2 linked regions of the Ovis aries genome follow. The protein of the gene in region 1 interacts with the protein of each later gene in a pairwise test. Links are inferred from orthologs where the notes say so. Each region holds a gene or a part of one and is shown in the gene's direction. Other genes may lie near its edges. The genes, in order: WASL and ARPC3.

Region 1 (3,824 bases):
TGCCACCTCTCCTGTCTTCTCCTGTCTTAATTCCTTCATATTTTTGCCTTGGGGTATGGCATGTCTTCAGCATGCTTTCCTTTTTATGTAGTCATAGTACAGATTATAAACATAGAAAGGTGGTAATAGATGTTTTCCTCACGAAAATGATAGAGATATTTCCAGTCACTTTTCAGAGAATAGAAATGCTGAACTGGTGCTATACCCAAATTTGGTATAGCTGATAATTTATTCACTATAAATTAATGCTCTCCCCTTGCCTGAACAGTAATTTAGTGTCTCGGAGAAGGAAATGGCACCCCACTCCAGTATTCTTGCCCGGAGAATCCCATGGACGGAGGAGCCTGGTAGGCTACAGTCCACGGGGTCGCAGAGTCGGACATGACTGAGCGACTTCACCTTCACCTTGAATGATTTTTAGCTGAATCCCAAATTATTCCAATCAGTGTGCTTACTCCCAGTTCAGAAGAACTTTATTCTCTCTACTGAAGAGATTCTTCACTGTACATAGAAGATTATGGTTCCAGAGTCCTTAGCAAAACCACAGGAAATGATTGACTAACAATACAGTTTTTGTAGTAGAATAGAGTGAGTCCTTTTCCTCTTGATTAGCAAACAATTAAATCATAAAAAATACTAGTTCAGGTAAATATCATTGCTTTTTGAAATGCAAGCCTTAAATTGATTAAAATGAAATCTTTGTATCTGCTTGGAGGATTTGACGTACTCTCTTATTCAGGGGGTGTACGTAACGTACATAGACCATGTCCTCTTGGTTTTACTGTTACTACAAACTATGTTGGAAAAAGACTGGTCTTAGCAAGTTTGTCTTCTTGCTTTGGATCTGGTGAGAAAATTGGGTGAACCTTAGCTGCAGCAGCAGCATGCCTTGAGTGTAAATCATGGGCACTTCCCTCAGGGGCGGCTTATATCCAAGTAGGATGACTGTCCTGTTTGCTGCTCCATGTTTCCAGTTTTAAAAGTCTCTGTATCAGGAGACAATACCCTTGTGAGCCTTGCCTTACTGTCTTTTTCATCTCATATTTATGACTACATTTGATACCGTATTTTATAGCATATTTCCCATGATTGTCTCAAATGAAATCAGAAAATAATGTTTGGCTTTCCTTTGAAGTGAGGGTTGTTTTTTTTTTCCTCTTGGTATCATTGCATTTTTGAGCATCTAACCCTATTATTTGAAATTAAGGTGTATAGACTATAGAACTATCCATCAAGAATGTATTAGTTTGTACCAGTAAATATAAATAGCTTTATTCCTTAAAAAAAGAAAGTTATTGTTTTCCTACTCACTCTTTAATGAAAAAATAATGAAGTTTATTATTCTGTAAATTTGTGTACGCTCTTGTTAAAATCATGCCTCTGGAAATGGAATAAATTTATACTTTGAATTTCTGTGTTTTAACTTACACTTTACCTTTAGCAAAATAAGAAGGTATATATTATTACTACCAGAGTAATGTTAATATTTTACTAACTTGAATTTTACAGTGTTTAGAAATTTTCAGTAAATTTGTTAATGTCTCCTGAATAAGTAGTTGAACATTTCAGCTGAGTTTAGCTCAGATTAACTTGAATAAATTTTAATAGATTATACTACATTAGCTATTTAATTCTGAATGTAAATTAACTGCATAGAACAGCTAACTAACTACACTTGATTCTTTAAAGAGGAAAAGTAACCATTAATTTTTATTAAAATGTAAAATGATGCTTATTGACCAAAATGTTTAATTTCTTTGTTATAGTTTTATTATTATTATATAAAAATATGTTTATTCCCTTACCTTGAGAAGTGGTGCTGATTTCTAATAACTAAATTCTACTACTTCAGCGAATACTTTTTCAAGACGAGGAAAGTGATCTTTAGGCTGAGAATTCCCAAATTATTGGAAATTATAAGATATCATAAGAATTGTAAGATATCATCTTTGCTCAGATAGCTTTGTAAAATAAAATACAAAGATGAGGCCTTTCCTCATACTGTTTTAATGCATGTTGAAATATGTTGCTTTTTCAGTATAATGTTTGTGGGGGAGAAAAGCATGCTTTCTCTTTTCTGTTTGTATTTCAGCACCACCACCTCCACCACCATCAAGGGGAGGGCCGCCCCCTCCTCCCCCGCCTCCACATAGCTCGGGCCCTCCTCCCCCTCCTGCCAGGGGAAGAGGGGCTCCTCCTCCACCACCTTCAAGAGCTCCCACAGCTGCACCGCCACCACCGCCTCCATCCAGGCCGGGTGTAGGAGTCCCTCCACCACCGCCAAACAGGATGTACCCTCCTCCACTTCCAGCTCTTCCCTCCTCAGCACCTTCAGGGCCTCCACCACCACCTCCACCTCTGTCAGTGAGCGGGTCAGTGGCACCACCGCCTCCTCCTCCGCCTCCGCCTCCACCAGGGCCACCACCTCCCCCTGGCCTCCCTTCTGATGGTGACCACCAAGTTCCAACTCCTGCAGGAAGCAAAGCAGCTCTTTTAGATCAAATTAGAGAGGGTGCTCAGCTAAAAAAAGTGGAACAGAACAGTCGGCCAGTGTCCTGCTCCGGAAGGGATGCACTTTTAGACCAGATACGACAGGGTATTCAACTGAAATCTGTAAGTAATCCATTCTTTTCAATCTAGACTACCTGTCTTCATGAAATTTTTAAAATATTATAAGACATCTTCGGAAAGAAATCTTTATTTTTACTTCTTCTCTTGGTATTTTTTTAACCCTATGAATTTCTGATATTTTTAATACCATAAAATACACACATTTATACCTTTACCTGTGTAACCTATATTGCTGTATCAAAATACCACCCCAGAAAGTTCCCTCATGCCTCTCTCCCTTCTCAAAAAGAATCACTGATCTTATTTCTGTCACCATAGTTTTAGTTTGCCTATTATAGAACTTCATAAAGAGAATATTGCACTGTGTTCAAAATTCATCGTTCTAGACTTTTAAATAAAATTTAATTGTGAGAAAAATCTTTATTAAACTACACAGAAGTAAAAGTAGCCATATTAAAACCAATCGTAATCATTTTGGTAAAGTCAGGCCATTAACTTTATGAAAACTAAACTATATTTTAAAGTTTCTGTGTCTGAAATTTAGATTAGTAGGGAATCAGACTCCACAGAGAATTGAAGAATTTCTGTAGTGATGGCAGATGATTTTGGATTCTCTGAGCTGGATGAGATCATCATTTCACCTTCTAGAGCAGGGCTTCCCTGGTGGCTCAGACGGTAAACCATCTGCCTGCAGTGTGAGAGACCCAGGTTCGATCCGTGGGTCGGGAAGATCCTCTGGAGAAGGAAATGGCAACCCACTCCAGGACCTTTGCCTTAAAAATCCCGTGGACAGAGAAGCCTGGTATGCTGCAGTCCATGGGATCACAAAGAATCAGACACGACTGAGCGACTTCACTTTCACTTAGAGCAAAGGTTACCAAACTTTTTTCTTTAAAGGACTAGACAGTAAACATTTTAGGCTTGCAAACCCATATAGTATGTTACAGCTGCTCAGCTCTGCTGTTGTACAACAGATGGAACAGCCGTACATGTTCTGTGAAAGCAGCCGTAGACAGCACATAAATGAATGGATGTGGTTGCGCTCTATAAAGCTGTATTTATGGACACTGAAATTTGAATTTCAGATAATTTGCACATATCACAAATATTCTTTCATTTTTGTTTTCTTTCAACCATTTAAAAGTGTAGAAATCATTCTTAGCTTTAATAAAGTTATACAAAAAGACAAGGCAGACTAGATTTGGCCCATGCCGTAGTTTCCTGACCCCTGACCTAAAGCCTAAGCTACCTAA
Region 2 (3,824 bases), on another chromosome or scaffold:
GGACTCTCAAGAGTCTTCTCCAGCACCACAGTTCAAAAGCATCAATTCTTTGGTGCTCAGATTTCTTTATAGTCCAACTCTTACATCCATATATGATTACTGGAAAAACTGTAGCCTTGACTAGATGGACCTTTGTTGGTAAAGTAATGTCTCTGCTTTTTAATATGTCTAGGTTGGTCATAACTTTTCTTCCAAGGAGTAAGCGTTTTTTAATTTCATGGCTTCAGTCACCATCTGCAGTGATTTTGGAGCCCAAGAAAATAAAGTCTGACACTGTTTCCACTGTTTCCCCATCTGTTTGCCATGAAATGATGGGACCAGATGCCATGATCTTAGTTTCTGAATGTTGAGCTTTAAGCCAACTTTTTCACTCTCCTCTTTCACTTTCATTAAGAGGGTCTTTAGTTCTTCACTTTCTGCCATAAGGGTGGTGTCATCTGTATATCTGAGGTTATTGATATTTCTCCCAGCAATCTTGATTCCAGCTTGTGTTTCTTCCAGCCTGGCATTTCTCATGGTGTACTTTGCATATAAGTTAAATAAGCAGGGTGACAATATACAGCCTTGACATACTCCTTTTCCTATTTGGAACCAGTCTGTTGTTCCATGTCCAGTTCTAACTGTTGCTTCCTGACCTGCATACAGATTTCTCAAGAGGCAGGTCAGGTGGTCTGGTATTCTTCCCATCTCTTTCAGAATTTTCCACAGTTTATTGTGATCCACACAGTCAAAGGCTTTGGCATAGTCAATAAAACAGAAATAGATGTTTTTCTGAAAATTGCTTGCTTGCTTTTTCCATGATCCAGCGGATGTTGGCAGTTTGATCTCTGGTTCCTCTGCCTTTCCTAAAACCACTCGAACATCTGGAAGTTCACGGTTCACGTATTGCTGAAGCCTAGCTTGGGGAGTTTTGAGCATTACTTTGCTAGCATGTGAGATGAGTGCAATTGTGCGGTAGTTTGAGAATTCTTTGGCATTGCCTTTCTTTGTGATTGGAATGAAAACTGACCCTTTCCAGTCCTGTGGCCACTGCTGAGAGTTTTCCAAATTTGCTGGCATATTGAGTGCAGCACTTTCACAGCATCATCTTTTAGGATTTGAAATAGCTCAACTGGAATTCCATCGCCTCCACTAGCTTTGTTCGTAGTGATGCTTTCTAAGGCCCACTTGACTTCACATTCCAGGATGTCTGGCTCTAGGTGAGTGATCACACCATTGTGATTATCTGGGTCATGAAGATCTTTTTTGTACAGTTCTTCTGTGTATTCTTGCCACGTCTTCTTAATATCTTCTGCTTCTGTTAGGTCCATACCATTTCTGTCCTTTATTGAGCCCATCTTTGCATGAAATATTCCCTTAGTATCTCTAATTTTCTTGAAGAGATCTCTAGTCTTTCTCATTCTGTTGTTTTCCTCTATTTCTTTGCACTGATCACTGAGGAAGACTTTCTTATCTCTCCTTGCTATTCTTTGGAACTCTGCATTCAAATGGGTATATCTTTCCTTTTCTCCTTTACTTTTTGCTTCTTTCAACTCCTTGCCAAACTTTAATCCCTTGGAATCCAACAGAGTGTGAAATCTTTGTTTGTAGACTCTTGGGCAATAAACTGTGATCTAAACATTCTGTGATGTTATGGACATCTCTAATCTAATGCATGGTCTTAAGTGTGGTGTTTGTGTTAAAATTCCACCACATTTCATTCTCTCTCGAATATCATAGACTCTTAAAACTAGGGAAAAGTGTAGTTTGTTTATTTAAACTACACTTTAATTAAACTCTGTGTAAAATTTGACCTGAAGTACTGCCACATTTGATTAGCATCCGTTTGTCTTCTCCACATTTTCCTTTGGGTCAGGTCAAAAGTTGGACTTTTGGAGCTCTTCAAGAATAGGTCAGTTGTGAAATAATTGCTTCCTCCTTTAGAGTCATAAATGTTTCTATTCTCGGCACAGATCCTGAAGTGAAAGGGCTTTTAAAGATTAACGAGCCATATGGTTCACCTCAGGTTTTCCAGGCGGCTTTGTTAGCTCTCCTTCCTAGAAGGAGAAGTTATTGGTACAGCTTCTCAGGAACCCAAGGCAAGGGGAGCTGAGAAAAACAGGGGCAGCCACACAGCTCAGAGAGGAAGCTGGTGGCTGCCTCCCCAGGAGCAGACAGAGGGCTTGAGAAGATTACATTTGGAGAATGGGAATTTTTGATACTGTGATAACTGTGCTCTCAGTTTTCAGTTAATAAATCAAAAGACAAAGATTGAATTCTTTTATTGCAAATAGTTATTGCATTTTGCTCAGGACTGTTTTTAAGTTTTGTTTTCTTCCCATAGAATGAAGCTGATAGGACCTTGATATATATAACTCTCTACATTTCTGAGTGTCTAAAGAAACTCCAAAAGGTAACTAAGCCTGGATAATCATTTGTCAGGAATACAATAGGTGTTTAGTCTTGTTGAGTCTTTAAGGAGAAGTAGAAAATATTCCTCTGACTTAGAGCATGGACTTGAGAGGAAAATCTGAATGTAGATGTCTAAACTTACAGTAGTTGACTAATGAGAAGGATGATGGTGTTTTAAGGTTTTGGCAAATGTATATCTCTTAACAGTAGTTGACTAATGAGGAGATAAGGATGGTGGTGTTTTAAGGCTTTGCATATATTTTTCCAAGACAGAAATCTTGACCAAATATTCTTTTTTAAGCCCATGGCTCAAGGGTTCTTAACCTGGGGTCCAGGGATAGAATTCAGGGGTGCATGAACTTGAGTGGAGAAAAGATTACATCTTTTCACTAACCTCCAACTGAAATCTAGCATTTACTTTGATTATTAACGTAGGCAGCAGCCCACAGTAGCATTAGCAATACCTGTGACTTTCTGTGGCAGTTTCATACTACATTTATAATTGAAGATATTTTGAAATTTTACTTGCATTCATTACTGCTTCAAAATTCAGTTGTTAGGTCCACTGCTGAGTCTTGTTATTTAGTGCATTAAAGAGCACATGTGTGGCTATGTCATAAAGTTGATTTTTTAAATATTGTAATTATTGTATTTCATTATAATTGGATTCTTGTGTAGTCCTGTTTTATCTTATTCATTTAAAAGGTTAGTTTGAGGAGGAGCCTACAGGCTTCACCAGATTACAAAAGGGCACAAAAACAGAACCCCAGACCTAGCCACTTAGACCAAAAAACTGCAAATTGAAATGTTATATCCTTTTTCCCTACGTTTGTGTATATAATTTTTTTTTTTAAGTGCAATTCTAAAAGCCAAGGCGAGAAAGAAATGTATACACTGGGAATCACTAATTTTCCCATTCCTGGAGAGCCTGGTTTTCCGCTGAATGCCATTTACGCCAAACCTGCAAACAAACAGGAAGATGGTAAGAACATCTCCTCCCCCTTCCTGTGTGGCACATGGTTTTCTCCACTGGACTGTTTACCCGCCTCCTTTTCTTGACTTGATTGTTGTACAGATTGAGAGTGGGCTCATTAGCTCATGCACTAGCCTACTTTGTGAGAGTCACTCTCACAAAAGATCCTTGGCAACAAGTATGACACGTAGAGAACCTTTTCGACCAAAATGAGTATAATCTTAAAACCATTTGAACTGCTGTTTCTACTTCTTATCCTGTTCAGATGTTGAAGAATATTGCCAAGGTCAGTGTCTAAATCAACAGCTAGCACATTTGGGATGCTTTCTCAAATATAATTTTTTATTTTACCTGCTCTTGATTTTAGAGGTGATGAGGGCCTACTTACAACAGCTGAGGCAAGAGACTGGACTGAGACTTTGTGAGAAAGTTTTTGACCCTCAGAATGATAAACCCAGCA

The links.
Region 2: the proteins of WASL (region 1) and ARPC3 interact in binary tests that used the Homo sapiens proteins (3 or more experiments, as listed by UniProt). The two-hybrid records come from large-scale screens. The link is inferred for Ovis aries from reciprocal best matches to the Homo sapiens genes WASL and ARPC3.

The regions. Positions count from the first base shown.
Region 1 is NC_056057.1:89,602,703-89,606,526, reverse strand, and holds part of WASL (actin nucleation-promoting factor WASL), read left to right. Parts: intron 1-2,092; coding exon 2,093-2,613; intron 2,614-3,824. UniProt on the Homo sapiens protein: Regulates actin polymerization by stimulating the actin-nucleating activity of the Arp2/3 complex. Involved in various processes, such as mitosis and cytokinesis, via its role in the regulation of actin polymerization.
Region 2 is NC_056070.1:54,356,971-54,360,794, reverse strand, and holds part of ARPC3 (actin-related protein 2/3 complex subunit 3), read left to right. Parts: intron 1-2,323; coding exon 2,324-2,392; intron 2,393-3,246; coding exon 3,247-3,373; intron 3,374-3,731; coding exon 3,732-3,824. UniProt on the Homo sapiens protein: Component of the Arp2/3 complex, a multiprotein complex that mediates actin polymerization upon stimulation by nucleation-promoting factor (NPF).